Arabidopsis thaliana: one gene and its partners. The protein of the gene in region 4 interacts with the protein of the main gene of each other region in a pairwise test. Each region holds a gene or a part of one and is shown on either strand. Other genes may lie near its edges. The genes, in order: MYB21, GAI, TCP11 and NIMIN-2.

Region 1 (10,763 bases), 830 kb from region 4:
CGACTTCAACTGTTCAACATTGAATAAAGATTATGTCAAACTCATTGAGACGGGAAGAAAATGGTTTTTGCTATATACAGAAAGTACAGCTAAGGCATGAGGCTATAACAATGAACAAGCAAATACACAAATAAAGAGAATTTAAAAGAAAAAAAACAATTCTTTCACGTTTATTTACATTTCTAAATTATAAACCACTTGTATGTTTGTGACCGACCCGCCATGTGATTTTTCCTTTATTATTCACATGTGAAGTCGACAATTCCCACATGATAAAAACGTTGGCCTAATCAATTAAATAAACATGTGGCCCAATTCCACATCCATTTCGAATTTAAATTTGTAGTTGAGAATCTAAAATAAGCATAATGCGAGTTTTCTACTTTTCTACACCAAGATGTAAAAGAAATATATATAGTGTAGCATGCAATGTGAATATAATAAAGATACTATATACATAACATGGTTGCCAATTTAAAAAAAGTTAATAATAATTGGAATATATATGAATTATTCCTATTCTAGCCAATGCATAGAGAAGAGGAAGTGGAGCTTGGATTTATCCTTTACACATGCTTCATTGGGACAAAATGTGTCGTTGCTTAAAGACTAAAGTTAAAAAGTTCGGTAAAGCTTTTAATGCTTTTGCCGTCTCGCTATAGTGCTTACACTTCCAAACCTAACATCATGTCCCAATTTCCAAATTATTCTACCCAATTTATACATATAATAAATATAAATTACACATTTCTACGAACTTATGTCATATAGTCAATCTATATCATTGCGGCTCAATATATGTACATGTTCCTACCTTATTGAAACTTATTTTTCATCCCATGTTTTAAGTATAAATATTTATGGTTTTGAAGAATATATGGATAGAAATATCAATCAAACTGAACCATTGTTTATTTCTATTCATTTATTAACTAAGATAAGTTGATATCTTCATCTTAAAGGTTGTGGTTTTGATTCGTGGAGTTAGGCTCACGTCGGGTTCTACATGTTGAATGGCGATGCCCAAAAATGGATAAAAATTGTTGAATAAAGGCAACGTGAACTGTACCAAAAACTTTCTATTTTGAGCATCAATGTGATACGTGTCTTATTGCGATTGGTAAGAGTAGGTGCTATATGTTTCATGATGAGTACGTCATGTGATATGTACACACATCGATCCACATGTTACATGTATTATGTATATGTATATACATGCCTAACTCATATGTGTATCAGTGTATGTGTTTGCATATATATATGGATGAACATTGAAGGTGCTTCTCGATTTGATCATACACCTAAAATTATTGCTCTGTTTTAACCTTATTGCTTTGACGTCTTGCTCTGATTTAACCTTCCAGAAAAAGAAAAACTGTATACAAATTATATGATGTGTTTAACTATAAATTCTTATGTAACTATATCAATTGGTTAACGGATAATTGTACTGGTCGAGTATGACATGAGATATATATGCGGATAAAGGCTTTTGTTTAAGATCCGCCGCATACATTATGGTTGTAAAATTAAGAAAAGTGCATCTTACGAGGTTGGTGCAATCATTTGCACTGAATTCAGAGTCACTTAAACTTAAGAGTACTTTACAAATACAATTATTACCTTTTCACAGAAATTAACAAATTCATTAAAGGATCATGTTATAGATTGCACAAAAACAATTTGACCATGTTATAAACTTATTTGTTGCTTTATGAAAATTGATGTTTTGTTAATTTTTATGTATAGCGGATTTATATTTTACCAAACCCATCTTTTGTATAACTTTTAATGTTTTATCGTAATTTAAAAGTATCCAATATAGTAATTATATTATGATTATAATTTGACATTATATTTTGGTATGCTTTATAATATATGTGAAAACCTCTAGCGGAGGGAGTAAATAACAACTTTTATATGATATATACATTAAACTAATCATAGATTCATAGGTCATCAACAAAACAAAACTAAATGATGTTCTCATATATACATGGTACGTACGAACATTCCTAAGAAAAATTACTTCAATAAAACAAAAGATATCCGGAAATATGACCCCTTCAACAATTTTATTTATGTATAACATGGGTTCAATAAAGATCCAAATATGTATCAAGGTTGCATATTAGATAACATTATATATTAATTATAACCCCAAACCTCTACAACGAGGCAAAAACATATACATGTCACGTACTAATAATAGTACTCCTAAAAATCATATATAATACTCAATTAATATTCCATGTTTTGTCCACCGATCAATCAATTACCATTCAATAAATGCATTGATGACCAAATATCATCCATGCCCCAATAGTTTTCACCGGTTTGATCATCAACGGTCATCGGTACTGGATAATCCACGGTTGCCGTCACTGCCGCGGCCGAATAGTTACCATAGTTGAATTCCATATTGGTATGTTGATATGATGTCGGTGTAGGAGAATAAGTCTCCATCGCTTGATCTTGTGTACAAAAGACATTATGGCTCGACGTGCTTGCAGCTTGATCGTTGATCTCTGAGCTATGATGAGATCCAACGGACGATGTTGTTGTTACATCCGATTGCTTGATGTATTTTTGAATTCTTGTCCTCCAGAAATTTTTGATCTCGTTGTCCGTTCTTCCTGGAAGATGTTTGGCGATTTTCGACCACCTAATCATACAATTAAGAGGAAATTGCATTAGTGACATCATTATTTAACTATTAGTGTTAGTTTATTATGATGAGCTAATGATTGTTGTGGGGTAAAGAGATTTAATATGCGAATGCATAGGACCAAAGTTAGTACGTCTAGATGAAGCCAAAACATTAAGGTTTACGTCTATTTCAGTTGTGTCTGTCATGAGCTAGGCTTTTTGGTTTTGTACTATTATTACATGTACAATGTTTGGATCTTTTTCAATTTCTAGATTATTTTTTTCTTTCTTTCTGATAAGCCTTATAAATTATATAATTTATTTGTTGTTAAAACTTAAAAGCGTTACAATTTTTTGTTTGTTTGTTAAAAGTGTTAATAAACGGTACTTCTAAGATTAACTGATAAAAGCTAGATGTCAATTAAACTGTAGAGATTAGGAAAATGAAACTAGTTTAAAACCAACCCAAAAAGAGTAACTTATAAAATAACTGAAAATTTAAATAAAAGAATTATGAAAATACAAATTAAATGAATATTTTTTGGTTCTTCCCTTGATAAAATTTTGACCTTAAATAATAAGAATCAAATTCGTAATTAGTTAATTGCAGATAACATGAAACTATACTATAAAAAAATATATATATATATATATAACTATACTAGTTTAGATGATAAAATATGTAAGTCTATTCGCACTTACTTAAAAACAAAATATACCATTTAATTTGTTGAATTAGAGAATCATGTACCTTGTACTTTGGGCCATATTTTCCAGCTCTATATACATATAAAACAAATAAATATAGAATTCGAATAAAAAACATAGATAAATTAAAGAAAAATATCTTCCAGAAACGTGGGAAATCACTTGAATAAATTTGACACACTTATATACTTCAAAAAAATAAAAATAAAAATATTGGGGAAAAATCTAGCCATGTCGACGCTGACGCATGAGCATGGAGGAGAAATAGGCACGATTTTCAAATGTTATTTTGATAAAACCCACGAGGTTTAATGTGAGTGGCTAAGAAAATTTGACACGTGCACAAAAACTCTTAGCTACGTCTAAGAACAAACTTCGATCAAGCTTATCACAAAGGAAATAAACACTTTTTGCTTTAGTCACCAAATGTCTTGCTTTCTTGTCTTTTCATAGATTTACGTGGCATATTGGCAGCTTCAGAGTATATAAACGATTCAAAGTTGGAAGAATTTGCCTTTGTTTGTCTTTTTCTCTAGTTACACATAGTGTATATGTATGTATATATAATTGTTTATATATATTCTACGACAAGTAAATTAAAACCAACCTGTTTCCCCACTTAGCATGAAGTTCCATGATGATAAGTTGCTCTTCTGGAGTGATGTTTCCCCGTCGTACGTCGGGGCGGAGATAGTTCAGCCACCGGAGCCGGCAACTTTTCCCGGTTCGTTTTAGACCTATATACATTCATATTATCAATCATCACAATCAATATGACTCTTACTACGTGGATATATATTCACATAATTATAATTAGTAGTAGCACATATGACATATGAGTATAAAAATACGTGTATCATTTATTTTTGATGTTTTAAAAAAGTATTTTACATTATTTTACTCTACCACTAGGCCATCATTAAAGCATCATATATCCAAGTATCCAACACATGAAAACGTTTTAATATTTAGATTGATTCTTTAACAAAGAACGAATATAATAGAGCATATATATATACACGTTTAAAAAAAAAATCTAGTTATGAAAATATAATTAATATCTGTGTAGATAGATTTATATATAAAAGAAATGAACGTACGTAAGAAAAAGTATTTTACCTTAACAAAAAAAAAGTCTGCTTTTGTCGTATAGGATATATACCTTTGCATGTTATGACGAAACCCTAGTTCATACACCATATATGTATATAACTATAAATAATTGAATTTGATTTTAAGAAGAAATTAAACGAACCTGCAGATTTGGCGAGAGAATTCCAAACACCATCGCCGTGGTTGGCGATATAGTTGATAAGAATAAGATCTTCTTCCATCGTCCATGGTCCTTTTCTCACTTCTGCTTCTGCTGATGATCCCGAACCTCCACTACTTCCTCCTCCTCTTTTCTCCATTTTTTTTGTTATTATTCTTTATTTACTTTATTATATACGATCAAGTTTTTAAATATATTTTATAGATTTAGAGAGAGAGGAATATAAAAAAAAAAGAGTGAGAGAATAAGAGAGAAAGATGTGGGTGAGTTGATATTGAAGGTTGTGGAAGGTGAGGTACTGCTTTTATAGAGACTAAATTCACCGCGTGATTACTAACCCTTAATTAATCTAAAGTCTTAATTAATTATGTTTTACCTTAATCTTAGAGTGTTAATTAATCATAAAATTAATTTATGTATTAGGGGTTATTTTCATCCTAAACACTACTAATAACACATGCATGGGGACTATCTATGTATATCTCTTCAAACCTAACCAATTATAACAACATGGTTTCATTATTATTTGTTTTGAAAAAGGGTTTTAATAACATGGTTTCATGACTTTCATCCATCCATGTAGATATGTATATTAAAGACTGGAGACTCTTTGATGCATTCATGCATGGATGATGCAAGACATGCATGCAATAACATACATACGCGTGATTTTTGGTTTGTATATATGAATTATCCTCGCACCAACTCATGGTGTTACAATCTTAACCATGGATGATGGAAGTTATATATCAAGATTGTTATTATACATATGTATATCCCTCCTTCTACATATCTTATCTATATAAGATAATTAGCTATAGTGGTCCGTTTTGTTTGTTTCTAAATTTGCATAAACTTTAAAGGTGTAGAGAGGAGGTCTTCTTGGGCTTTTTTACCATCAGATATTTCTCTTTCACAAACAAAAAGACAAAAGAAGGTGGAGTAATTATAAGCTTTCTTGTCCTCTATAAACTGATTTGTTAGAATGAAGCTTAGTGATCATAATTAATTATCTTGTTAGTTTTAGATTAGCAGTCGATTTATTAAACGCTATTTCCTTTATATATGTACTAATAAAAGTTACATAGTGGCACACATAACATTTCTTGTTTCAATTATAAGTTAACTAAATGATTTACATAGTGGCACATATATCAGATTTAATGTTTCAACATGATATTACTAAGTAAACTTACGAAGACAATCAGTTAAATAAATGATTTTTTTGTTTCGCTAGTGGATTGAACGTGGAACATCCTTTCGCACTCAATCTGTAACATACAATTCATATAATTAACTTTTGTAAGTCTCCATATTAGTCTTGATTTAAATTTTATAAAAAAATCAAATTAAGTTTCTGTACACATATTGAATTTAATCGGGTTGCTTACCGGTTTAAGGGATCCTTCTTTTTTTTTTTCCATTCTAATTTTGGACAAAGCCCGGTTTAAGAGATCCAAAGACTTCATAAACAGACTGCTTGCCGTTTCACTTTTTTTTCTCAATCTATTTCTTCCATCGTTACCACACACAAGCCTCGACGTACTAAGTTTTCGGCATGAGACTCCTTGTCGTTTCTTTAGTCAACCATATTGTCCATATATTCAAGTCATAGTTGACGAAAAAAAGATTGGATGGTAATTAAATTGGTAGAATAAATTTGCTATGTACTTCAACAACTCAATGATCTTTATATGCTTTTGTAGTAGGGCATGTCTCATAAAGAAATCGATAAAAGTACATTAGTTTACTACTTTATAGTAATAAATAATGACGCCAAATTAACTTAATTAATTGTAGGTAACTGAACTTATTATACTCTATTAGTAAACAAATTAAGAACATGACAAAGAAAGTACAAATTAAGATGGAGACGCGACGATCTTGACACTCTAAAAAGTTATCTCACTCTAATCCCAACCAAATTCGAAATCCATTATCTTAAAGTGAAAAGTGACTAATTCCTAACCAAAAACACATCCAAAATTAATCAAATGTATGGTCCTTCACACTTCAAGTAGCAAATACTTGCTTTTGTTGCCACATCCCATCTCTTTTCATTTTTAATGCGATAACATGCGTTTATCAAGATTAAAAACAAAAGTCCTGATTAGATAGACTTTGACGTGACCATATATATCTGCCAACATTATTAATTTAGTTTTTCGACAATTCAACATCAGTTTAAGAAATAGGTTTTGAGTTATAAAATTAAAACATATAATTTTTTCATTAAATAATTATGTTAAGCACAAACGCAAAAATCAATATTTGTCTGTTGGTTTTTGGCTTTTACATTACAATTAACGATTTTTTTATACTTAAGATGCTTAGTTTGTTAGTTCAATTGAAAAGAACAAAATAAACGTTTGGGTACGAGTCGAATATGGGTAGACCCAAGGGCCAAGTCCATGGTACCGGACCCGTATACCAAACATCTGAATTGGTGCACTTTTATTTGATAAGTAACTTTAAAAAATAATAATAACTATGTTATCTTTGAGGAGGTGAATGATCTATGGAGCTAATAAGACCATTAGATTTTCATATTTGCAAAATAAAATAAAAATGATATATTTTAGATTTTATAGCAAGGGTTATGAGTGATTGAAAACCTACTCGTTAAAGCATAACTAAATAGTTTCCATATTTGAAAGGGCACATAATTTGGCGTATCATACAAAAGTTTAAGTACACTTAAGCCATTTTTAAGAAACCCCATTATTTGTGGCTACGATTTAATTAAGTGGAAACGACTCTTTTCTTAATTACTTCCCTCTTAAGCGCGTTATATGCACTTCCCTACTGGCTAATGTCAACTCTCAAGTACTAATCATTTTTATTTTCTTGTTACAAAAAATCCATTAACTTCCGAATTAACAAATTTACTACAAGCTTTATGTACACCAAGTAGAAAATTGTAATTGAAAATTCCAGAATTTAAAACTTTGAAAATCACAATTACCAACATATTACAAACTAACATCTTCTGTTAATTTGTTTTTGAAAAGAGAAAATTTAAAATTTCCAAAATTATATTCGTTTTCATATGTGTGAAAATTCTAGTATAAATACTCTATCAAAATGTTCTCTATTATCTAAACTTGAACTCGTGTTTTTAAAGACACTAAAAAAAATCTACTAATACACTAAACGAGTTATGCAGTAATTTTATCTAATATTGGTTGGCTACGCTTTCAAAAATAAAAGATTTTTAGTGTTAACGGAAAAATGTGAATAAATACGTGTGGTGATACAATAGTATTGGGTTTAAAAAACATGACGTAACTTTACAAAAGTTTTTTTTCTTACTACAGTTTCATATTCGGTTTTATCCCACATTGAGTCTACTGTCTACGTGTGGGCAAGCTTATAAAACCTTATTTACTAAGGTTAGACTCACTTTAGTGATCTGCCTGAAGCTTCGATGAAACTTAAAAACCTAGTGTTAAATATATGAATAGTGGTTCCAATTTTGTAATCGAAAAAGAAATTGTAATTGTTTGTCGTACACACTAACTAAGGAAGAAGTCGGTAATAGAATACGCGTAAAGAGGCGCGTGGAGAAGAGGAATCTTCAAAGAAACATAAACTAGAAACGTGGACTCTTCACACCTTCACAATAAGCAAATGTCTAAAAAGGGCAAAAGTGTTTTGCTTTTCTGTTATGTAATGTAATGGAAGATTTAATGGAAGCCTGTAAGTGGAAAAAAAACAAAGCTTATGGAGTTTAATGGCAATGTCAAGTGGCTTAAGCTTCATTTGTATGAGTGGCTATAAGAGTGACAAGCCTAGGATCATCAATTAGATGTGTGTGGGGGACCTTGAGAGAAGGAACAACACACGCATGTGACTATGTGACCCCAACAACTAATTACGTGTGTAATTAATTAATTAAGAGTTCTAAAATATTGTTTCCAAGTTTAAAAGTATTTTTTTTTACCACTTAAGCTTAACGAATCTTATTAAAAACTGAAAGCTTTTATAATATATATAATTAAAAGATATATATATATATATATAGTTCTTCATGTTTTATTATTTTTTCTAAAGCAATTTTTCATATAAAAAAATCTGATTATCAACAGCTGTAAATTGTAGAATAATTGATGTAGAAACTTGTTTGTTCTTAATGCATAAATTAGTATGTAATCTTTTATATCGCAAAAAAAAATCTTTGTGGAGAAACATGTACGACATTCAAAGATTTTAGAGTTTACATTAGGCAAAAAAACATGAAAAAAACACAAGACTGTAATTTGCTGAGATTTACGTATATAACCCTTAATATTACTTCTGAAAAAAAGAAAAGAAAAACCCCTTCAAATTATCTAGGGTGAATTAATTAAATTACTCAAATTTGGAAAATATAGGTATATTATGTTATGAATTGTTGGTGTCTGATCTCGACATGTTAATCCGACTCGAACGGAATTACATATATCACAGTTTAAAAATGATATTAACTCGGATATACTCTTAAAATAGGTTTAGTTCGAGATAACTAAGTTAAACGGTCTATAAAAACCTATAGTCAATAAACCATTACAAAATTTGGATATCAAATTATAACCGGATAATCAAATGTAATTAAGGTATTTAATGCAGAAGATTGAGGAAGAAGAGTATTAAAAGAAAAGGAAGGTGGACGCAGAGGATACCTGCTTCAAAACTTAGAAACTATATGCTACACCTTTACATTCATTCATCAAATCAAGAAAATACTAATTTCTCATTATTTTTGTATATGGATTTTTTAGTGCGAAAGTTTAAATCCTTAAAAGAAATATTTCTCGAGTGATCAAAATTTATATCCACACAAATATATGTTTTGGATTTTAACGTTGCAGTATGAATTTCTAAGAGACACTAACTTTCATCTTTAATATTATAAGCCCGAAACTTAGACACCGAAAGTATGCATTAGTAATTAGATATGATTTATTATTTCTTGAAACAAAATGAAGTATGAGGATGTATCGTTTGTGTTAGACGTGAAAAGATTGACAATTATGTTTTGGTTTGGTACTTAGTTACCTTCATGCCGTTCATGATGTTATTGATGAAGTTGGTATGCACTTCTTGATGTCAGTAAGTATGCATATAGTCAGAAGATTCTTCTTCAGCGCAATATCTTATACAGTTCTATTGAATATCAATCTAAGAGAAATTAAAATTCTGATCTATGCACGTAGCGTTACTACACTAGATGCATGTTTTGATGTTAAATTGTGGTGTTTCTCCCAAGAAGTGTTTAAACCACATTTCTAAACATCGTTGAGACTAGTTTCGACTATTAAAATAAAAACTGAGTTATGTAAGTGCAGAAGAAGCAATAATCAAGTGTACAAAATAAACGAGACAATAAATTTGTTAATGAGGTTTAGTTTTTCCTACTCCCCGAGACCACGTTCAGATTTCGATTTCACTAGAAAAAGAAAGCAAATATAACCTATTTACAAACAGAAGGATAAAATTGATGAAGAGTTGAGAAGTTTATCAAAGAATGTGCAGTGTTTTAAATGCAAAGGATATGGACATGTTCGTTCTGAATGTGCCAATCTACACAAGCATAAAAAAAGGTTATCAATGTCTTCACTAGTGATTCTGAAACTGATTGAGATGAAGAAGAAGATCTGAAGAATTTTGTGGCGTATACAACTTTTGAGTCTGCTTCAGAGTCTACAATAGAGTCTGCATCAGGGTCAACAATAGTGTCTACCACAGGACCTGAAACTGGAAGTGATAATGATCAAAGTGATGATGTTGCTGCAAGTATTAGTGATGAAGAGTTTGCTGAGAATTAGAAAGCCTTATATGAGCATTGTCATAAGGTAGTTGAGGAGAATTCAGTGTTAACTAAGGAGAAGCTCAATTAGAAGTTAAACTTGTTGAAACACCAAAATTTGCTGTAGAGAAAGAAGAAGAAGCATCACAAGCTAAAGTAAAACTTGAAAAAACTCAAAAGAATTTGAGGATGTTTAATAATGGCACAAAGAAGTTGGATCATATTTTGAATATTGGCAAGACTGATAAGTGTGGCCTTTTGTATTTAAAGGAAATCCTTCAAAATCAGATCTAAAGTTTGTTTATGGTGGTAAAATCAGGTCTGCATCAGAAACTGTGAAGGAAA
Region 2 (8,573 bases), on a different chromosome or scaffold from region 4:
ACTAAGCATTCATACTCAGGATCTAGTAGATGGTGAACAAATGATTTTTTTTAGCTCTAATTAAAAGAATTAAACCCTATATTTGAAGGAGACAATTATGTATAATGTTACATATACATATATATATATAGCCGTTTTGCTATTTGTAGTGTTGTGGTGAGTTTCGTGTATATAAAGGAAGTGCGACACTTGAGTATTTGCATCAAACAAAACACTTGACACATTTCAAAAGAAAACAATCAATCGAGAAATGGCAATGTCTGGAACATACGTGGCGGAGGTACCGCTTAAGGGATCGGCGGAGAAACACTACAAGAAGTGGAGGAACGAAAACCACGTCTTCCAGGATGCCGTCGGCCACCACATCCAAGGTTGCACTATGCATGACGGTGACTGGGACTCCCACGGCTCCATCAGATCATGGAATATCACATGCGGTCTCTACTTTACCTTCTCTCTTTTTTTGTAGTATTTTGGTAGTTTTAGATTTTTGGTCCATATATTTTTTGGGGCCAAGGAATAAGGTAGATAAGTCCTCTCCCAGATGTTGGTAGCTAGGCCTCGAACCTTCTCAAACTCTCCTCCAAGAGTTTCAAAGTAGGGCTACCGACACCGGGTGTCCACTCTCTTTAATCATGTTTGGTAATACGAGGATTGACGATCGGCTAATTTGGTCTAGCATTGTGTGTGTGTGTGTTTGTATGAAGATGGAAAGCCGGAAGTCTTCAAGGAGAAGAGAGAGATAGACGACGAAAAGATGGCGTTGACGTTGAAAGGGCTAGAGGGTCAAGCGATGGAGAAGTACAAGAAGTATGAGGTTATCTACCAGTTCATTCCCAAGTCGAAGGAAGGCTGCGTCTGCAAAATCACTCTCATATGGGAAAAGCGCAACGAAAACTCCCCCGAACCCATCAACTACATGAAGTTTGTCAAGAGCTTAGTTGCTGACATGGACGACCACGTCCTCAATGGCCAGAACAAAGCTTGAATCCCCTCTATGGTCATCGTCGAATGGTCTTCATCTTTATGTGTGTGTATCTTTTGTGTATCTTTACGTACGTACGTGACTTATCATCCGCCTCTTTCCCCCTTTATACATGTTATGCTAATAATAATGGCGGTCTTGGAAGCCTATGTATCATCTCTGTTTGATGATTACATGTTGTTATGATGTTTTCGTGGTGTAAGTGTGTGTTCGTAATAAAATAGTAATTGTAAGACGTAAAATAGCCCATAATATTAGGATGTATATATATACCCTCAATCGTCATTATCTATCACATAAGTATCTTCACTAAAATAGGTAACCTTTTCAAGAAGCAGATCAATTGACAATTTAATTTTGCTCCAACCTTATCATCTCTTGTATAATTTTTGGATGTGCATTTATGAGAATCTCAATGTGATTTATGCGATCACTCCTTAATTTGTTTGATGATTGGACTCGCAACACTATGAAGTTGGTATAATTATAACGTTTCATCTCAACGAAGTGACTAATTCATCTCAAAGTAGTCTTCATGGAAACAATATGATCCCTACCATGCAGTGCTAATGTTTAATACTAGGTTTCCTTTTCTTTTCATATATCACATTGAGATTCTCATAAATGCATATTCACTATGATCGTCATAATAAACGTCTTATACAAGATCGTAAAAAAATTATTCTCGTTTACCGTAAAGTCTTTTAACTAAAAAAGGGGAATATTGAAATATTCATGCATGTGGGTGTGATAATTAAGAAGTACGAACGATATGACCAAAAAAAGATAACCAAGTAAAGACTGAAATTTAGAAATCTATAACAATCTGCAGCTTTTACAAAGAAAGAATAAACTAAACATAGATACCCTAAATAGATTATTCTAATACGTACTAAAAAACTTATAAAACCTGAACACTCTACATATATTCTTAATTATATTATATACAAAATACTAATATATATTGGATAATCATTAATCCCACATTTTATCATAAACTCGGATCAATCCAATTCCAACATTGATTCATATGTGGGAATATCAATATATGCATAACTAATTTTGATGGACACGTTTCGTATCTAATTGAAGGACAGTTTTCAGTTGTTATATATTCATATTTTATGTAAATTAAAGATACTTCTTAAGTCGATGGTTATAACATAAAAGGGTGCTTGTGTCAAAACAAAACAAAAATAGGTTCAAAGAATCTATAAGTGTGAGGTAATTTGGACATGACGACACATGGGATACACATGTGGAGCATATCACTATGACATCTATGGTCATTAAATAACGCAAAACCCTCTTGCCCGTCTATTTCGCCCTACTTTTCTTGCTTCTTTTTATCCAGTTAATAATCTGTTATGTGTTATCTATTAATAATGACATATTCCAACCAATTCAAACCTTATATTCAAGCGCTTACAAACTATCCTTACGTATACATTTCTTTAACTTTCACTTAAAATAAAACAATTATTTGGTTAAAAGTCACTTAAAATGGTACGGATGGACTAAGCATTTCATATTCAGGATTTAGCAAATGTTAAACGAATGAAATCTTTATCTTATAGTTTAAAAGATATAAACCACCTATAATTAAATCTTTATCGCCATAATTTCGTTTCTTGTTAGTGTTGTGGTGAGTCTTAATTTGTATATAAAGGAAGCGCAACACTTGGGTTTTTCCATCGAATAAAACACTTGACACATTTCAAAAGAAAACAATCAATCAAGAAATGGCGATGTCAGGAAAATACGTGGCGGAAGTACCGCTGAAAGGGTCGGCGGAGAAACACTACAGGCGATGGAGGAGCCAAAACAATCTCTTCCCGGACGCCATCGGCCACCATGTCCAAGGCGTCACCGTCCACGATGGCGACTGGGACTCCCACGGCTCCATCAAATCCTGGAACTACACACTTGGTCCATACTTTACTCTATCTCTTTCTGTGTTTGGTAACACGCGAGGATTGGATGATATCTATATATTCTAATGTGGACTAAAAATGTGTGTGTGTGTATGAAGATGGGAAGCCGGAAGTCATCAAGGAGAAAAGAGAGATAGACGACGAGAAGATGGCGTTGACGTTCAGAGGACTAGAGGGTCATGTGATGGAGAAGTACAAGAAGTATGAGGTTATCTTACAGTTCATTCCCAAGTCGAACGAAGGCTGCGTCTGCAAAGTCACTCTGATATGGGAGAATCGCAACGAAGACTCCCCCGAACCCATCAACTACATGAAGTTTGTCAAGAGCTTAGTTGCTGATATGGATGACCACATCCTCAAGGGCCAGAACAAAGCTTAATAACCCTCCATGGTCATCGTCGTAAATCATCCTCATGCATGTGTCTTTTGTACTTGTCTCGTAAGTGCCTTTATCATCCGCCTTTACATGTTATGCTAATAATAATGGCGGTCTTGTTAAGCAATTGTATTGTATGCTTATGTATACCATCTCTGTCTGTGATGTTATTATGCGTGTTCGTAATAAAATAAGTGTGTTAGTTATACGATTTTGTGTAAGATATAAAGCGGATGTATGTTAGTCATTTAGTCTCATGACTCTCATTATCCATCTCCTAATAAAAATTTCATCAAAATAGATAAAGAAAGTTTTTCACGAGGGGAGAGAGATTGATTAACCAAAATCCAAAATATCCATAATTCTGAAACAAAATCAAACACATACAAAAGTAAATATGCAAATATATTTTTCCGCCTAAAGACTCTCACGTCTCCTCCTCTCCCTTCTATAGAACGTATAAACCCTAGATTTTAGAACCCTCTGTTTTGCCAATTGACCAATTCCCACCTCAAAGTTGCTATCTTTTTTTCTGAACCATTTCTACTTGTTTTGGGATTTTTACTAAGGCCCATTAGCACTTATTCGGCCCATATATGTGGGGTAGCAAAAGTTGACTATAATCAACCATCAAACCGCCCTCGTGCCCTTTTTATACATCACAAAGGATCAAATGTCACAGTCACTCAACTATATAATACCAAAGGGTCACGAGTGAAGTCTAGTCTACTACCACCACTGTCGAATGTTTTTTTATCTCTTAAACAAGTTCGTAAACCAACTTCAATTGCTGTCAAAAAAAAAAAAAAAAAACTTCAGTCTTTTATTTACGAAGAACATCAACATCTCCCATTTTTACATATGTGGAATTATTTATGTGCAGTTGATGTTGAACAATATAATCCGCCTACTCTTTTTTTTTTTTAGGTGACATATATAATCGCCTACTATATCTTTCAGATACATGTATTAAAGGTGGACATTTGTATCTTTTCGGTTTCTTTTGTTTACTTTTCTTCTTTCAAATTAACAAATAAGAAAACTGAAAACGACTTAGCATTGTTAAAATAATCTGGTCCACCTATAATACCATGCACATTAAAAGAGCATATTCATGAGAATCAGCACATTATCATAAGAGACAGTTTAATCAGGCTCATTAGTCATTACAATGAATTTTATAGATGGTGACACTCAAGATGATTTTATTTCAACCAATTGCACATACTTGGTAACACATACTTCTATTTCTGCCTATCCAATTTACCCTCCAATGTCACATGCAAAAAAAAAAAACTCTCCAAAGCGAGATTAAAATTTTTCAATTACCTAATATAATGAAAGATAAGATCTTAACAAGTGACAAAGGGAAAAACAGTAGGATTTAGTTTGGCTTCGGTCGGAAATCTATCATCATAACCGGTTCAACAGATCAATTCATTGAGCCACCATCTAATTGGTGGAGAGTTTCCAAGCCGAGGTGGCTATGAGCGGTCGTGTGTGCCAACCCAACATGAGACAGCCGTCACTCTCCTCCACCCGATAACCCTCACCGCCGTTGAACAGAGCCAAAAGCATACTCGCTTGCTTAAACGCATTCGAACCAATATGTGCAGCCGCAAACCCAGCAGACCCGAACCGGTTCCTCCACTGACTCAACGTTTCATGACGCTCAACTCGGTCAGGTCCATCACAAGCCACAACGTTGCAGATCTGTTTACCCAAGTAAACCTCCGACATGACCTTGTCTTGACCACTCGGTACACCTTCCAACGAGTCAAACAACGTCGAGTAATAATGCAACGACTCAGTAAACCGATCTAAGAAAATCGGACTATTATGGTTCGATTCCTGCTCAACCACAGTGAAAATCTCCGGTTTAATCTGATTCACCACACCAAGAACCTTATCGATCGCACCAGGTCGTCCCAAGAGCTTGTGAAGCTCGAAAACAGAGTTAACCGCAACAGATTCAATCTCACTTGGTCTAAGCTCAAGCATCGAAGCATCAAGATCAGCTAAAGTGTTAGCCACAAATCCTCTGTACTCAAACTCAACGTGAATCGCCTCAGCTAAATGAGCCAGCTTACACCCAACTTCATGAAGATAATCGAAATTATCCGGTGCCGGTGGACCAATTCCGGTTAACCGGAAAACAGGAGGACCACCAGGTCGAAGCGCAAGAGCCTGCATAAGCGCCGGCCATTGAAGACCTTGACTCATAGAGAAATCAATGACATGAACTCTTTTCTTCCCTTGAAAAGCTTCGAGAATCGCTTGATTCGCCGTGAAGTGAGCGAACTTGAGATAAGGACAAGTCTCGTAGAAGTGCATCTGAAGAGTATCGGAGAGAGAGTGGTCGATTGGACTCTGCGACGGAGAGAGACGGTAAATCCGCCGCGCGAGAGCTTCGGCGAAGTAAGTAGCGACTTTTCTCATCGCTCCGATTTGAGAAACGGCTAAGAATCCGATTTGCTTCACCAGAGCTTCCGCTACAGTCAGATTCTCTTTCTGAACAGCTTCAGCGCAAGCCAAAAGCGCGTGAACGAGACGCACACCGTTCTCCTGCGAGTCAACCAGGACAACATGCCGAGTTGACTCAGCCGTCGCTGTAGTGGTTTCCACGACGCCGTTTGAGCATTTCAACCGCTTGTTTGTAGTATACGTATCTCCTCCGCCGCCTTGGTTAGACGAAGAAGCCGAATCGATAGCGAACTGATTGAGAATCGCGTCACCGGGAATAGCTTTAAGATCGTACTCGGCGTTAGACGACGGAGGATTAAGGTCGGTGAGCATAGAATCAAGCCACGTGTAAAGCTCCGCCGGATTATAGTGAACAGTCTCAGTAGCGAGTTGAGAAAGATCGTCTTCTTGAACATTAGACATCATAACTTCAAGCTGCTCGAGTTTCTGAGCAACATCAGCCATTTCGGATGACCTAACCTTGTAACCAAGAACAGCTAGAAGCTCATCCATGCCGTTACCGTCGTCTTCTTCATTCATCATCATAGTCTTCTTATCTTGATGATGATGATGATGATGATCTCTCTTCATGGTTGGTTTTTTTTCAGAGATGGATCTAAAAGGTTTTTCCTTCAATGTCGGATCTAGGTTTTGCTTTATTTGGGAAGGTGAAGAATCTTTAGCTTCGGGGATCGGTTAGGACTGCTTAGGATTTGTTTTTTCACTCCACTACCACTTCTAATAACAAAATAAATTGTAAAAATAGAGAGGAAGGTTATAAGAAAAAAAATGATTATTATTGTTGAGAATAAAAAGGCTCGTGATGGGGCTCGATGTCCGATGAATCATGGATCAGAGGGCTAACAGCAACATCTACAGCTCAAAGAGATAAGGCTGAAAATCACACACACACCAAAATTTGTAATTAGGGAATATATTGAAATTAATAAACTAATATATTAGGGAATATATAGCTTTTTACAGATTAATATTTTCTAAAGTTAGTATTACTTTAGAGTTTAGATGGTCATACAATTTTGAACAACTAAAAAGATTGTCATGCAACTAGTGGTACAATTTACTTTTTGTCGCTTTTTTAAGGAGTTTGTTGTGTTGGTTTTGTGTGATTGTAACTTTTGATCTAAAATACAGATATTTTTTATTAAAAAGTTTAAGTATTTAGTATAGTCTTATTAAATAAAATGGAACTTTTGTATTGGGAAAAGTAAACCATCATTAAACCCATTATGGAAATTAATATTCCATTTTATTAAAAAGAGATTGAGGGACTATGACGTTTTCCCGTTTTAGTTTTAAATTGTTAAAAAATTTAAATTGAATATAAGAAAAAGCTCCTTTTCTAACATTTTTTATAAGATCTTTAAAAAAAAAATTAAACCTTATTAGTATTTATCTGTAAGAGTGGATAAGAACTAGTAACATTTTCATTAATTACAAAAGACTTTTATATTTGTTCTTTGGATGGGGAACTAAAAGCTTTCATCATACTGTTTGAGTGCCCTAGCCTTCCCCTTTGTAATAATGTAGGCATGTTTCGAGCAAGGGGGTAGAAAAGTAAACTGCAGTATATATAAACCCATTTCAAAATAACAGTAATTATCAAATAGTAGCATTCAGTCTTTACACTTAAATAGCATTCACTATTTTGTCAATTACATGTTACGATAGAGTTAAGTTGTAATCGTTTCTTTTTAAAGTATAGTCTCGATTTTTTTTGCTATTTGTAGATAAAATTGGTTAATACAATTGTAGTATGTACTTAACGCCGTCGCTTACGGCAACTATTCTTAAATCATAATAAGATTACACAGATCAGAAAATAACAATTAGTCCCACTAATTAATGTCTTACAAAAATATTCGAAATTATTTTCGTGAAAATCAGAACTGACAACATGTGATTGGGTCCACGTGTAAAACGGGTCCCTTGAACTTACCGTACGCCATTTAGACTGTGGTCCCAAAGATCCCATGTGATTATTACACGTCTCTAAAGTATTTTTATACGCTAGGCCCTGATGAGAATTGAGATGACCATTCCCACCGTTGACGGCTCTTCGTATGGACCATCTCAATTAACGCTGTGCTACATGGTTGGTTACATGTTCTTGTGTTCCACGAATAATTATGCTCCGTTACATCATTTTCTCACAAAAAAAAAAAAACTGTTTATATTTTTAGCCACTTCACAAAAATTTATCAGATGGTATAATGGATCATTTCAATGTATATATACTATTACTTACGGAGTATAGAGTGACGTCGATAGTATTGGATTAAACATGCACCATGTCAATGTGTAATGTGTTACAAATTCGGTAGGTATAATTATTAATTTACTAGCAAAGAGAAAAAGACATCCAAAGTTTTTTACTTTGATTGGTTATCGTCATACTTGATATCAAGTGCTCTCGTTGATTAACCAAAAAAATTAAAGGTGCACTCATTGATTCCTTTATTTATTTTTTATAGTAGTAGAAGCTAACAAATGAAAATGGTGTCACATCATTCGTAATGAATATTTAGTCTGCTTTTTAGTCCAAACATTATTTTTTCTAAAGAAGTAATACAAGTCGTGATATATGTTAATTACATAAACAAGCCAATTTTAAACAAGTAAAATTGGATTACTGAATTCTTGAAATACTAGGCATTTTTGGAACAAAAAAAAAAAGGAAGAATAACTTGGGTTTACAAGATTGTTTGAGTCTTTTTGAAATAGTGAAAAAAGTGTCTCTTAACAAATTTCAATGATAGAGAACCATGCATACGCATCGGCACAAAATAGATGGACC
Region 3 (7,503 bases), on a different chromosome or scaffold from region 4:
CATGAGCTAACATCTATTCTTCTACCAAATGTATACTAAAGCTCTTTCCAAAAGGAAAGGAACCGCACAGTAACCACAAAATCCCCATCAAAGAGTAGAAAGGTGTGACTTTTCTTAGGAAATTGAATGAAGATGCAAGAAACAAGCAAGCTAGATAGATACCTGACACTGGAGATAACCCTTCAACTGGAAGCTCAGGATCATCTTCTCGTTGGCTTCAGTAGAAGAAAGCAAAAGACCCCGAATTTAACATCAGTCAGATGAATTAATTAAAGATCTCTCTTTCGAGTCCAGAAACATAAATCTCGACAATGACACTTAAGAATCAGATATACCAAATCAAGGAGAGAAACAAAACCTGAAACAATTGTGAAGAATTGGGACTTCTCCGGATGTTCTGCAATGAGACCCAAATGAAGAAATCATCCGCTGACGCAATTTACGGCTGAAATGATGACTCTTCGCCATAGCCTGAGAAGGCCTGAGAAAGAATGAAGAGAGCTGCACAATCTTAGCACCACAAAACCCTAATCCTAAACCAATCGAATTATGATGATTGTGGTCGGACAAATGCTGCAAGACACGTGAGCCTCCGCACAACATGGTTCCGTCTCGTGCTTACAAATCGGACAAGCTCGCTCTCACGGAGAGACTCTTCGCCGGAGCTAAATCACTTTTAAAACCCAGTGGTCAAATTTTATGTTCATAAGCATAAACCTCTGGCTCAGGCAGAGTCTTTGGAATAATATCCAAATTATTTAGCAATAAAAAAAAAGAAACACAAAGACATTGACAAGAGAACATTAACTGAAAACATGAGTAACAACATCTCTTTCATAATTTTCTATGTAAAAGGTAATCAAACAATGCTCGTATATGTTCACAATTGATCTAAGGATCAGTTTACAAAAGGAACACCAGAAGGAACTCTCTGCGCATACTCCACATACTGTCTCCCAAAAAATTGCTTCAAGTAATGCTCCTCATAAGGTATTCTCTCTGCAAAGAACCGCCACACCACAACCGCAAACGCAATCGCTGAAATTGGATTACAGAGCATTACTTGCGTTCCCACAGACCAAATGAGAAACCCGGAGTAACTCGGATGCCTCATGATTTGATACACTCCTTCTGTCACAAGCTTATGATGCTCCTCCCGGCGAATTTTTATAAGGTGTGTGAACGATCTACCTGCTGTGATTATCGCGGTTTTGCGAAGGATTTCTCCAAGTATGATCATTGTAAGACCGAAATTGCTGATCCACCAGTGTTGTTTCAGCCCCGGGAAGAAAACAATCTCGGCTATGTACTCGAGGACTGATATTAGCATTGCTAAAGCATAGTGTTTGCTGATTAAGAGTGAGCTTAAAGTTACTTTCGATGCTCCGTGAATGGCTATGGCGAGAATGTACTCCGATGTGTGGAAGAAGATTATCGCCAGGAACATTTGAGTTAACTGTCTGAACCCGGTGTCACTAAATATCTCTGTCATTGAGTCTTCACAAGATTACTTAGACCTGAAAAAACATGCGAGTAACAGACCCGAGAAGGTCAAAGAACATCATTAGCCAAAAGATGGGAAACAACAAGCATTCAAGTAAAATCCAATCCAACTCACTTCACCAAAGATTTTTTAAAACCAAATCACAGGAACACTAATGTCAATCAATGTAACAAATCTCACATTAATGTTCTTCTAACACTAAACTACAATGTTTCTTAATCCAACAATTGATCTATGACAAGCATTCAAAACACAGTTTTCACATGAGAATTGAAGATCTTACTCAAAGAATTACAAACAGATATGTATAGCTGATGAATAGTACGGGATTTTTTTCTATTCTGTCTATACTTACTAATACTAAAATTTCACGGAATCACAAAATTCTAATCACTAATTTCTTCAATTAGGCTTTTCGTCCTCGTTTTCTGTAACTCAACTGTCAAACCACGAGAAACGAAGAATTGAGCAGGAACCGTAAACGCTACGAAGATCTAAGACATACCCAGTTGAAATTGACGGCTGCTACGAGGGAAAATGCGAGAAAGACTGGAAATTTCGCAGAGGCTGACAGTGAGAATCGCGTGGACTTTGAAGGAGAGAAGCAAAGTCTACACCTTTACCCTTTATTCTTTGCTTGCTATAATCAAGGAATTACTTTTGTAAACACAGAGATCTCTTCTGTTCCGTCTGATCTTCCCCGATAAGAAAAGTCTTGTTTGAATCAAGGAGCTTCCGGTCAAAATCGATGAGAAGAAACGTTGCAGGATCACCGAAATTTCAAGAACCAGACTATTTTAGGGTTACCGGTTCGAGACGGTTTGATCCAATGGTCCCCTATCGGTTTGTTCCGGTTATAACTGATAACGATGAGTTAAATTGAAGTATTTCTTTTGTGTTTGAAGCTTACGATTATACTGCTCTGGATAGTGGATGGGCTTGTTATTAGTTTTAAAAGTTTTTGGTGGAACCTGAATTATCATCCGGACCGGCTCCGTTAACCCGAGTTCAAATTTGTTTCCTTTACTACGAAAGAGTAAATAGTGGGACAACTTCATTAACGAACGAACCATAATAGAATTCATGCTTAAAACTAACGGGACAACTTCAAATTTGTTTCTTTTGCTGTTTCTTTAGTTTTCTAAAGAGACTTGATTGAATGGCAATGATCACTAGTTAAACGACTTCTCTGTTTCGCTAGTAAAAACAGAGCTTTTATAGCGTTTTAGGTACAACAATCAATCAATCTCTCTCTCTTTCTATCACTCTCCGAAACAAATTAACGAGACCAAATATTCTTAAACCCTAAAACCCTAATCAAACAAGCAATAAGCTTAAATTAAGTAAAAAAGGAGCAAAAGAAACCGCAAATTAGAGGTACTTTCTAAACACTTTCGATGACATAAAACATAGGAATTTTTCTATACATTACCAAAAAGACAATACCATTTCTCAACGTGGTTCGTGGTCGTCTTCCCTCCGACCCGACCCGTTAGCTCCACCAGACAAAGAAGCAAGCAAATTGAGATGATGACCCGGAAGATAATTCCCAACTCTAGCTGCTGAAGCCTCACCCATTGCAGCTGCTGCGGCGGCGGAAGCTTGCTGTTGCTGCTGGTGGCGGACGAAGAGTGTAGCTGGTTGCTGCTGCTGCGCAAAAACCATTTCCGGTGGAGCTCCGGTTGCAAAGCTCCAGACTTGTCCGAAATCCGGCCTCGCCGGAACAGCCCAAAACCCACCAGAACCACCACCACCCATTAACGAAGTCCCCATTGTGTGTCCCACTGTTAACCCTCCTCCTCCTCCGCCGCCGGATTCTCCTTCCTCCGCTCTGACGACACGTTTCCCGAGAGTAAACGGAGAAGAAGTGGAGAGAGAAGCAGTGGAGAAACTCGCCGGAGTAGTGCCAGTTCCAGTGGCGGCTATGATAGAAGGCTCAGCTTGACGGAGAAGCCACTCTATGGTTTGACCATCGGACTTGTGACCTAACTCTCTGGTCAATTGAAAAACTCGAGCTGCGCAAATGATTGGCATACGAATCCTTCTTCCTCTTCCGTCAACTTTGCTGTGTCGATCTTTAGACGGTGGTTTCTTAACGGCGTTAAGAGGTCCTTTGTTTGACGTCTGCTCGACTATGATGCCGTTACTCACTGCTCCGTCGTTGTCGGCCATGGAATTAGGATTTCGTTATCACTATCTAACTCTCTCTCGAGGAGAAGAAGAAGAAGAAGAAGAAGAAGGAGGTAATGATTTGAGAGGAAGCTAGGCTGGTGGAGACAGGAAGGAGAGCACATGGCTGGTGGGGTCCCACACAGCTCACTTCTGCTAGGTTTTTTTAATTTGTCCGGACGCGGTTGAAGCTCACGCGCTTGACTCCGGTGTTGACTATAGCGTTGGACCACGGTCGGGCAGGAGAATTTAAGTTTTTAGGTTTAGGAGTTAGTTGGGGTCCCCATTTATATGGTTGCTTGAATTACATTAGCTAATTTACGAGTAATTAGGATTCGTAGAAAATAAGTAGCGTTACAAGAATAATATGAATTCGATTTTGGTTTTTACTAATTCTTATTACTTCTGTGACATGTAACCACAACAATGCTGATTTTTACCTTTATTTCTTATCGATAAAATTTGTTTTAGAATGAAGTAGTATATGTTTTATGCTTTGTAACCACAGTAATCATACACGTTTACCTCATGAGTTTAATGCATTTTATAGGATGTAGGGAAATTAGATTGCAATTAAGACAAAAGCTGTTTCCAGTTTCCACAATAGTTGAAAAGATGAGGAATAAGAGACAATCAATGGTGGTAATTGATTGGTGAGTATACTTTACACCTACACTGATTACGATTCTATTTTGTACGATTTTAATTTATTTATTTTTAGTCATTTATAATTTCACATCTACTAATTTGTGATTGTCTCTTATTTTTTATTTTTTATTTAACTTCTAGGATAAATAAATAGCTCAAATAAAAGAAATGACAATTACGCGCTTTATGACACAGGTTACTAATCTGAGTATAACCCAACCACTGTGACCCCCACACGATATGCGTTCGTGTGTGCAATTTGTATAATCAAAATTCTTATTACCCATTAAGCAATAATAAAACAAATCATTCCATTTGGAGCGTGGCATAATAAAAGTAGCCGTGCCCACCTGGCAGATATGCCGATTTTGATATGTCGTTGCGTCGAGATTTTTTAAATTGTTTCGCGACAATAATTTCTTTCATGATGAATATATAATGCACATTATACTATATTATCGTCTTAATATTTGTTATATGATTGTGAAATCCTTTAACAGAAATAATTGTTATGATGATTGCCGTACCCATACGATACAACCATGAGTGATGTTTAAATGCCTTTTTTTAAAAACTATACCCAAGCCAACTTCTTAAAGTTGTCGATATAATACGTGAAGGTGCTATCAAAAGCGATGAAAAGAATATTTTTGTGCATGCTTAAAGTATGATAGATAGTAAAAACTTGAAACTACGACGCACAGCTGAGGAACCACCAAACTAGAGACTCGTAGAGAAATTTTAGTCACATTTCGTAGCTACTTGCTAGGATTCAATTGAACTAGCTAGTTCTTAAAAGAAAACGTTGCCACAAAAGCTTACATACAAATTGTATGATACAATTGACAATTATTAATGACCGGCGCATGTTAAAAGTTATATTGAGTGATTAACTGGGATTTGAATGATTAGTTGTGGGGTTAGCTGGATAAATGCATAGAAATTTTTAATGATCACCAATTTACCAAAAATGCTTATAGTATATTCTAATCTTTTTATTTTATTTTAAAATAGTAATATGTGTACGAATCATTTGACAATTGTCAAATGTGTTAAACAGCTGGAGCCCATTCTCATCTGCCTTTATTTATTAATGGGAATTTGTATAGAATTATTAGTATGGGGGTTGGTGGACGAAAATACAAGAAAGTGACACTTCTGTCAAAAGAGAATCAACTCGTGTTTCATACAAATATCTTCTTTTCTAGTTTTCTCATTTGGCGATGCCTCTCTAGATTTTCTTAGCTTACTCCACCAATCAGAATAATCCACGTCATCTCGTTTTTTTAAACTGAGAGGATCGCTTTATCTTCTGCCATCTATTTGACTAGCGTGACTAAAAGACGTTCAGAGACCAACTCGCTTTGTAGTTTGTTGTATTTGGTATTTGTTTGATACTAAATTACTAATCATGTGAACTGTGAACGATTCTGACTTTGGTATAACTCAAAATTCTCTAGTGACTTGATTTTTATCAAACGATATACATGCAACGTAAAGATTAACGCAAACAATCGAAACTTTAATCCTAATCACCTGTTTAGAACTCGTTACAAATAACTCATAAAACCAGGTTGTTTTAAGGCTCGCTTGGAATGACATTAAAGAAATGGTAGATCTCTTCACTGTCAACTACTCCGATCTCTGTGGAACAAGCTGAGCAAAAGACCGGGTTAACTTTTTCGCTATCTTCAGAACCAGTTTCTTGCATCTCGGAATCTCTCCTTCTTTTACCAACCTTTAAGGGCATTGTATTCTGTTGCAAAACTGTGTCTGTACCTACTTTGCAATTGACCACAAAGACTGCTCTGTACTGTGTCACATACTGCTCGTGCCTGCAAAAGTTTTACTCAGATTGTCTTAATTTGGTTCCGCAGTTTATAATACTAAAACCAAGTTCAAAGAAGTGCAAAGGGATCAAGTCATAAACAAAACAATATCATCGGATTGAAGAGGAAAGAAAGAAATCCATTGTGATAAAGTCCTTATATTAGTCTATCGCATGAGTGTTGTAATAGCCTAGGCGGTGTGTAGTGGATAGTAGTTGTATCAGCAATCTTTGAGTTAGTTAGCTACAGAGCTAGCAGCTAGAAAAGGTAGTTCTGGATTTACCTATGGGTTTTGGGATTGGGAATTGGACTGAGAGTAGAAATTTTTCTCGTTAATCAAGTCATATAACTGGTTTGGATTCTACCAAGATTGTCATTCCTAACAAAAACCTAGAGCCTGTAACAATTGTCAAGAATCTCATAATCAAGTCAACATTCCAGAATCTAGCAAGTTACTATCAATATATTAGCAAACACATTGGTGAGGATTGAACAATGGAGCCCTAGCAACATTGAGAAAGCAAAGCCTGGATGGGATATAACAATCGTATGAAGATAAAACACCAAGTTCTGATGTTGAGAGAGGAAAATACCTCTGACACTCTAAGCAGACAGTGGTGAAACAAGCTGGACAGCTAAGAAGAGCATCAGAAGTACGACCATCTCTCTTCTTATCCATCCAAAGCTCATCTTTATCATCAATATCTGAATCATAGAACTCCGGTTTGATGGAGTAATCAACTTCCTCGTCATCCGAAACTGTTACAAGGTAGTAGACAAGAAGAAGTTAGGCCTCATCAAATCAATATACAGAAAATAGACATACTTGTCCTTCTGATTCCACATTATTACAAAATAACTTGAAATCTAAACTTGAACACAAGAACACAAATCTCTTGAATACTGAAGAAACAACTTCTCTTTTCGCAATCTATGGCATCAATTAGCTTACGAATAGCAACATCAATTACACCATAAAGATTCAGAAACTTAGCTAAATACTAAATAGCTCAAGGTCTCAATACGATGGATGACAAAAAAAGCAAAAGAGAGATCATATTAACCGAAACCTATGAGAAATCCATGGATGAAGGAACGAAACAACAAAGGGATTGAGTCGAATCGGCCAGCGAGTGAAAGGGTTTGAGCGTATTAAAGGTTTTATTTTACCTGTTTTCTGTGAATTGGTCGGAGAAGCCATGGTTTTAAGATTCGATCTTCACTGCTAGTGTAATATACGACAGCTCTTGGTTAAGCTTAGCTCAGCGTCGAGCTCCGACGGTGCAGTCAAATCGGAGGTTCACCGACGAAGACGATGACAAACTTCGTTTTATATAACTTACAGTGGCTTCT
Region 4 (7,004 bases):
GATTCACACTTGCACAATTCTCGTCTTGCGCTAAATTTCTGTCCAATTTCGTCTGCCAACCTACAACTTACAAGGTCCAAAAGCCCTTTAATATAATTACGCATTATTAGTATTTTCCAATGTCAAGAAAACAATAAATGGACTATAACTCTCTGCTTAATGCCTAAAGGGCTAGAACAATTAGTCAATTAGTGGATAGACGATTTTTTAGAGGTTTAAATAGTTTTCAAATAAAAATAAAATATATTTCTGTATTAATATAACATAATAAAAACAAGTTAATAGAAATAAATTGTATATTTTAAATTAATCAAAATACATAAGCAAGAAATATGAGTATTCAGTATTCACTAATTTTAAAATACATAAATTTAAAAGCATTAGGCTAAATTCACCTATCTTACCAAAATCTATCTAATACAATTAATCTGCATGATAACTGGATAATCTGCTAAATCTAACTAGCTACTTAAGAGGTGGTGATCTACGCCTAGAACGTCTAATCATGATTTAGGAGATTTTAAGCGGCTACACATTTACAACATAACATATTATAAATATTATATTATAAATAAAATTCATAGAAAACTATCTCTTAGAAAAATAAAAATATGAAATTATAAACAAAACTTAGATAAAACCATTTATAATTCATAGCAAACAATATATACAAAGCTAAAACTTATAATTTAAATTGATATAGTTGGAAACAAACAATATATACAAAGCTAAAACTTATAATTTAAATTTATATAGTTGGAAACAAACAATATATACAAAGCTAAAACTTATAATTTAAATTTATATAGTTGAAAACTAAAAAATAAACTAAAATAAAACTTATGGAATTTTAGACAGCCAAAACGGTTATTTAGATATCACATAAACGTCTAAAATCTAGATGACGATCAACTAGGGATGTCAGACGGGCGAGCACGCGACCAAATGGGGGGTCCGTGATGGCCCGTGCTTCTTTTCCATAAGTGGTGGTCCGGTCCGCCAACGACCACATGCGACCAATCGAAGCCCATATTCGCCTCGCAATGTCCATTGGTCTAACGGTCTGGCCCGCAATCCTGTTCTGTTCTAGTTGTCTCTGAAACACACTGTGTTGTTCTCGTCTCTGAAACACAGTGTTGTTCTCGTCTCTGAAACCTTCGCTTATGGAGAACTTCTGTTCTATTGCATGCCTTTGAAGACAAGAGACTTTGACCGTAATAAATGGTTATTCCACAAGTTTTGTAATTCTGTGTTATCACCAAACACAAACTGTTCAGTCTACTCCATCGTTAATATCTAGGTTCACCATTGAATCTTCCACCAGCTATAACCAAACAACGACGAAAAAGAGATGTCATAACTATTTAACTACACAAATAGCATCTAAAAATAGCAACAAAAAAAATCAAAAACTAGTCATTACTTAGTACCTATGAAATTGTTTCCAAATGTCTCCAATTAGAACCTTGGATCCTTCAACGATGGTGATACTACCAACACCACCAAGGACGAGATTCTTCAAGGCATTGGAACCAATAGGACCACAATTGAGTAAACAGATACTCGCTTCTTCCAAAGTCCCTTGACTTCACCTCAAAATCCTAATCAATCAACGATTACTTCATAAAATTTCCTCCCAACAAGATTCGTTCGAAGATCGATAGAATAATACAAATGTAGAGTTCGAAGAGACTAACATAGTATACATGAGTTGACGATCGTACTTGGCTTTAGGTTCCATCATTGTTAGAGATGAGAGATCATATGTTCGTAAGTCGTAAACAGAGGAAGAAGAACAAGCGCGTCGTCCACAAGTCCGCAGACATTAATAGATAAACCATGACTAATCCACAATCCAAAGTTCCAAACGCACCCAACCCGCAATGCCCGCTCTTTTTTTGGACTCCCTTATACAGGCCCATACCTACTCTGCAATATTACTAAACGGGCCAGGCAAAGGCCCAATTGATATCTTTACCATCAACACTTTTTTAAAACATTGATTTTAGTAAAATTTATGTTGTTTAGGAACGTCAAACGCTTAAATAGCTTTTGTTTGACTTGTAGTTTTGCAAATATATAACTTCTCTTTTGACGTATAAAATAAAACTGAAGAATCTGAAATTTGGATAACATGTTAATAATCTTCTTTTACCATTTTTTTCAAAAGTATTGTAGTTAAAAAAAAATTGATTATTGTAAGAAGGGGAAAAACATGAAGGACTACAAGTCTACAACGATAAACTAACGCTGTCTGGTTCCGGTTTACAGTTCAGATCCAAACCCAAACCCTGTAACCCGACCCGATTAATCTCATCGAATTCTCCGTCTCGAACGCCGTTACAATCCAACGAGTTTCTCAACCCAAGATTCTGACTCCGTTTCCTCTTCTTAGACGGTAACTCTCCCTCAGCAACACCGCCGTTAACTTTCGCAACCGTTCGTGTCGCCACGTGTACTCTCCGTAATATCTTGAAAAACTCATCCACCTCTTCCTCCGTTACCGTCCGAACAACTTCCGTCGACGGTTTCCCTCTGTTACCGTCAGATTTTCCGTTATCTTCTTCTACGCGTTCTTCTTTCTTCAAAGAGTTGTTCATGTTAGCCAGAAGAAAATGTTAACGGCGTCGTTTAAGCTTAGTCAAGAAAAAATTATTTGCTGATTTTATTTTGCTAAAATTTATAATGAAACTCTTATAGCCGTCGGTGTGGAACTTAGACGGTCGATATTGTCAACAACTAAATAAATTGGACGGTGGAGATTGATGCTAATGACATCATCATGCGATGTTTTAAAGCGTAAGTATCATGACGTCACACTTTATTGACTTTTGGAATAAAGGAAGTCCATGTGTGGAAAAATTGGTATCGGCTATATTTTTAGAGTATATGTAAGAAATAACTTTTGACTTCAAAAGAATACACAAAATAACCTTGGACCAAATAGTATTTGTCGGCTACAGAAATTTTGGCAATAGTTAGTCTATTTTAGCCTTTCTCTTTCTTCTTCCTTCTTTTGTTTCTTTTTCATCTTCTTTACGAGACTTTAGCCATGGAGTTCTCTTTCTCTCTTCATCTTTAACACAATTCATCTTCTTCAGATTCACCATGTCATTTTCTTTTTCTATTTCTCTCTCCCTCTCCTAAAATAATCTTCACCACCTCTCATAAAATATATCATCATATCTCTTTATTTTGTTCACCTACATGTTCTCTCTTTCTTTTTCCATAGAAATCTCTCTATCTCTCATTCTTTATTTTCTCTTTTTACCTGAATTTTCCGTCAATGTCGTTGTGATATAAGAGATTAGATTTGATTTTAAAACAAATGTCTGATTTTAAAATGCATGTATTTTAAGAACAAAACATGTTATTAACACTGATATATTAATATTTGTCATGCTATCCAATAAAAACTCATGAAATAAATAAATATTTGTCATGTTATCCAATAAAAACCCATGTAATATTGTAACAATTCTATATGTTTTTTTAAACTTCGCGATCTATAAGAGAATTGCATGCTTTTTATAAATATTTCGTGCTATTTCTGAGAAACACATTATTTCAGAGAAACATATATATCGTGTATATATATTCTGTATGTATTTTAAAGAATTGCATGATTTTTGTAAATATATCATGCTATTTTAGACAAATACATATAAACTTTATAACTAAAGCCAATGGCATTATTGTAAAAATAAGTAAACACAAGGATATTTTTGTATTTTCTCTTTTTCAGAAAATGTTATTTACCTAACTTTTCTGACACAATGTCATTCTCTCAATTCTTTTCCATTTCATAGTTAGTTTCTAATATTACCCATATTTTTATATACATAGAGATCTATATTTTTATAATTTAACAAAGACCAAAAAAATTTGGCCAAACAACAAATAAATAAGGAAGACTAAGAACTTGTGAATTGTGATCATCGTTAACGTGGGGAAGATTTTCTTGCGATTATTATTCCTAGTCTTATTTATTTATTTATTTCCACTATCAATTTAAAATGACACGTAAATTTGTAATGATTTTTCGAATAATGTAAGCACTAATTGATATTGGTGTTTTAACTTTTAACAAAAGAAAACAAAGATCTACATATGGGCCTAAAGTAAAAGCCTTTTAGTTAAGTACATTATAATTGGGCTTTATATCTTAACAACGTCGAATCAATTGTAGGGCCGACGTGGGCGGCTAAGCTGTTTCCAACTTTCCAACTTCCGACCAGCTCCACTTGTGTCTTTCGCTCTCTCTACACTTATGTTTTTTTTTTTTCAACTCTCTGTTTTGTCTGACGTGTCCACTTACTAATAATTTTTGAAAAAACTTTCCACATATAAAAATTGCTTGATGGTCGTCGTCGATGGCTGCATTATTTATGAATGTATTAGTCCACATGGTGAAATGTCTACATTTTAAACACCACGTGACACTGATAATCCGACACTTGTATGTGTGAAATCAATGTAATGATCCCTTACTCTTTCTTTTTTGTTTTTCTTTCAATAGAACAAAAATATTGCGAATTTATCTAATAATGTTTCTGTAATACTAAAATTATTTTAAAAGTTTTTATTTAATATATTGTTAATTTGTCTAAATTTTGTCACGACCGTTTTTCTTCATGAATAGTCTTTGACGTAGTTGAACATCCATTTTGTATACACTGTTATAAATTTGCACACATTTTGTGTTTCAACAATTTTTAAAAAGTATATATGTAGTGTACAACTTTACTTTATTATTGCTTTACTTTTTTTTTGTCTATTGTCGTTGAAAAATGACATCAAATGAATCTGTTGCCTTCCTTACGTAGGAAACGTTTTGTTGAAATAGTAATAATTAGTAAGGGTCATTGTATATTGGTGGAGAAAATGTTTTTCTTACTTCTGTAATTGCATCGTCTTTTCTTCACGTAGGGTAGGCAATCACATGCATTCAGGCGTGCGTTCACTGTTTTCTTTTTTCTTCTAGCTTTTTGTTTTCCTACTATATTGTTGCAGAAAAATGTTTAGTTTAAACTAAATTAATTATCCAACTCTTTAAAGTGGCAATCTTGTAAATAAAAAGGGGAGTAGGTCTGGACCAATGTGGCAATGCGAGCGATATGTTAAAAAAGCTGTGGAATAAACAAAATTTTGGAAATTAGGAGTTCCTTTCGTTTTATGGAATTGAAAGAAAATGACACTTTCAATATTTTTTTGGTATTTCTTTAGTAAAAAATGTTTTAAATTTTTAATCGATCGAATCGTAATGAACCTTACAAAAAAATCATAAAATTTGAAGTTGATATATAAATTTTAATCTAGAGATGTTAACTTTTTGGATTAATCTGGAAGCGACCTGTTTTAAGTTGTTTCAAAACTATTAGGACCGAAACCAAATAGAATCGAGCAAAAAATGTTAGAAATTTTTATTTTATTTTGTGTTCTTTAGGTTAACCAAATGTTCGTTCATGGTGTAAGATATCAAATAATGGATGAGCTTAACCTCTAAAATACAAGTTTAAATTGATCGGTTCAAATCGGACCGAACTTAAATGATTTTGCAAGTTATTAGAGTGATCATGATCATGTTATGTTACGGAATATTACAGAGTAACTTAACTTAAGCACTGACTTAGTTGACCCAAAAAGAGACCATTGACTTCATGAAATGCTTGAGTGTGGAAAAAATAAAACAGAGTTATTCAAAAACGTTTTGAGTTGTGAATTATTCTCATTAACATTGTATTTATTTGGTGCACAAAAAAAAAAAAAAAAAAAATTGTATTTATTTATACCCACTAAAGATGGGAAGAAGACTTGTAAATTATGATGAAAAGTCCCTCGGTTGGTAGCAACTAGCAAATGTGGGGATGGAACAATCCTCCACGTTCGAAATTGTTCTTCTTTAGCACAATCAAGATACTGCAAAGTAAACTACCTCTAATGTAATTAATTAACCTCACAAATTGTTATGTTAATTAATGGTATTGAATTATACTCGTCGATCTTTTGTAAGATATTTTTGTTGAATGCCGAAAAAATTATCAGAATCTATAATTGATGTTTTTGTTTAAGAGTCAATTTGGGAGAATGAGTTAAATTACTATAGAATACAAGTATACATCACATCAAATAATATGAATAATTCACTAAACAATGAAGGAGTAGTTACTAGTCACTCTCTTTTATTTATTTTTAATTAAAAAACGAATATATATGTTATTGTAGTTTAATACTATTAATAAAATAAAATTCTATTACTTCACTTAGCTAAAAGACCCACAGTGCAGTAACAGTGAGAAGTAAATTTCATGAATAATGTATTACAATACAATAATAACTTGTTCGATACAAAGTATTATTCCTTTCACAAACTAAATTTATTTACCATATATCCATAATATAATTCCAAAAATAGTATGTTTTATTACCATATTGTAAAAGGGAAAAATGTCATTTAAATCATCACTTTACCATTTTCGTTGGTTTAAAACATAAACTCTCGATTTGGTGATTTAAATCCTCAATTTTATGTTGACGTTTAATTTAATCACGAATTCTCGTTAACTAAGCCAATTAAGACACATCGTTAAAAAATTTTCTAATTAAAATTTTTGAGTTTTTCTCTATTTTTCTTCAGAATCTCTTATCTTCTTTGGAATTTCTCTTCTTATTCGAATTCAAAGTAATCTTTCATCTTTAGGTCGATTGACGATACCGGGAAAAAAAATTGTGTCTCAATTGGCTTAGTCAACGAGAATTTGTAATTAAATTGAAAATCAACATCAAATTAAGAATTTAATTCACAAGATCCAAAATTCATACTTTAAACCAACGAAAATGATAAAGTGATAATTTAAAAAACATTTTCCTTATCCCTATTGTAAAACTATTTTCACCAATCTTAACCGAAAAAATGAAATAAAACTGTCCAAAAAAAAAAAACCAAATGCTAATAAAAAACGAATTTAATTTCCCATCTTCGTTTTTTTTCTTTCTTTTAATGC

What was found.
Region 1: the proteins of NIMIN-2 (region 4) and MYB21 interact in binary tests that used the Arabidopsis thaliana proteins (3 or more experiments, as listed by UniProt).
Region 2: the proteins of NIMIN-2 (region 4) and GAI interact in binary tests that used the Arabidopsis thaliana proteins (3 or more experiments, as listed by UniProt).
Region 3: the proteins of NIMIN-2 (region 4) and TCP11 interact in binary tests that used the Arabidopsis thaliana proteins (3 or more experiments, as listed by UniProt).

The regions. Positions count from the first base shown.
Region 1 is NC_003074.8:10,301,602-10,312,364, reverse strand, and holds MYB21 (myb domain protein 21), read right to left. Parts: upstream 6,517-10,763; 5' UTR 4,770-6,516; coding exon 4,613-4,769; intron 4,365-4,612; exon of another isoform or gene 4,105-4,364; coding exon of another isoform or gene 4,095-4,104; coding exon 3,965-4,094; exon of another isoform or gene 3,962-3,964; intron 2,666-3,961; coding exon 2,272-2,665; 3' UTR 1,873-2,271; downstream 1-1,872. Other genes in the region: AT3G27809 (uncharacterized protein), read left to right, coding at 3,982-4,081, 4,619-4,665.
Region 2 is NC_003070.9:5,147,190-5,155,762, reverse strand, and holds GAI (GRAS family transcription factor family protein), read right to left. Parts: upstream 6,782-8,573; 5' UTR 6,350-6,781; coding exon 4,748-6,349; 3' UTR 4,348-4,747; downstream 1-4,347. Other genes in the region: AT1G14940 (Polyketide cyclase/dehydrase and lipid transport superfamily protein), read left to right, coding at 251-437, 708-988; AT1G14930 (Polyketide cyclase/dehydrase and lipid transport superfamily protein), read left to right, coding at 2,728-2,914, 3,018-3,298. UniProt on the Arabidopsis thaliana protein: Transcriptional regulator that acts as a repressor of the gibberellin (GA) signaling pathway. Transcription coactivator of the zinc finger transcription factors GAF1/IDD2 and ENY/IDD1 in regulation of gibberellin homeostasis and signaling.
Region 3 is NC_003076.8:2,677,001-2,684,503, reverse strand, and holds TCP11 (TCP family transcription factor), read right to left. Parts: upstream 4,104-7,503; 5' UTR 3,677-4,103; coding exon 2,957-3,676; 3' UTR 2,511-2,956; downstream 1-2,510. Other genes in the region: AT5G08340 (Nucleotidylyl transferase superfamily protein), read right to left, coding at 163-215, 359-603; ATSTE14B (Isoprenylcysteine carboxyl methyltransferase (ICMT) family), read right to left, coding at 899-1,492; AT5G08320 (E2F-associated phosphoprotein), read right to left, coding at 5,901-6,156, 6,744-6,909, 7,321-7,351. UniProt on the Arabidopsis thaliana protein: Transcription factor involved in the regulation of the circadian clock. Acts as a repressor of CCA1 by binding to its promoter. No binding to the LHY promoter.
Region 4 is NC_003074.8:9,468,290-9,475,293, forward strand, and holds NIMIN-2 (NIM1-interacting 2), read right to left. Parts: upstream 2,751-7,004; 5' UTR 2,601-2,750; coding exon 2,232-2,600; 3' UTR 2,068-2,231; downstream 1-2,067. Other genes in the region: AT3G25880 (NAD(P)-binding Rossmann-fold superfamily protein), read right to left, coding at 1,303-1,324, 1,431-1,586, 1,698-1,744.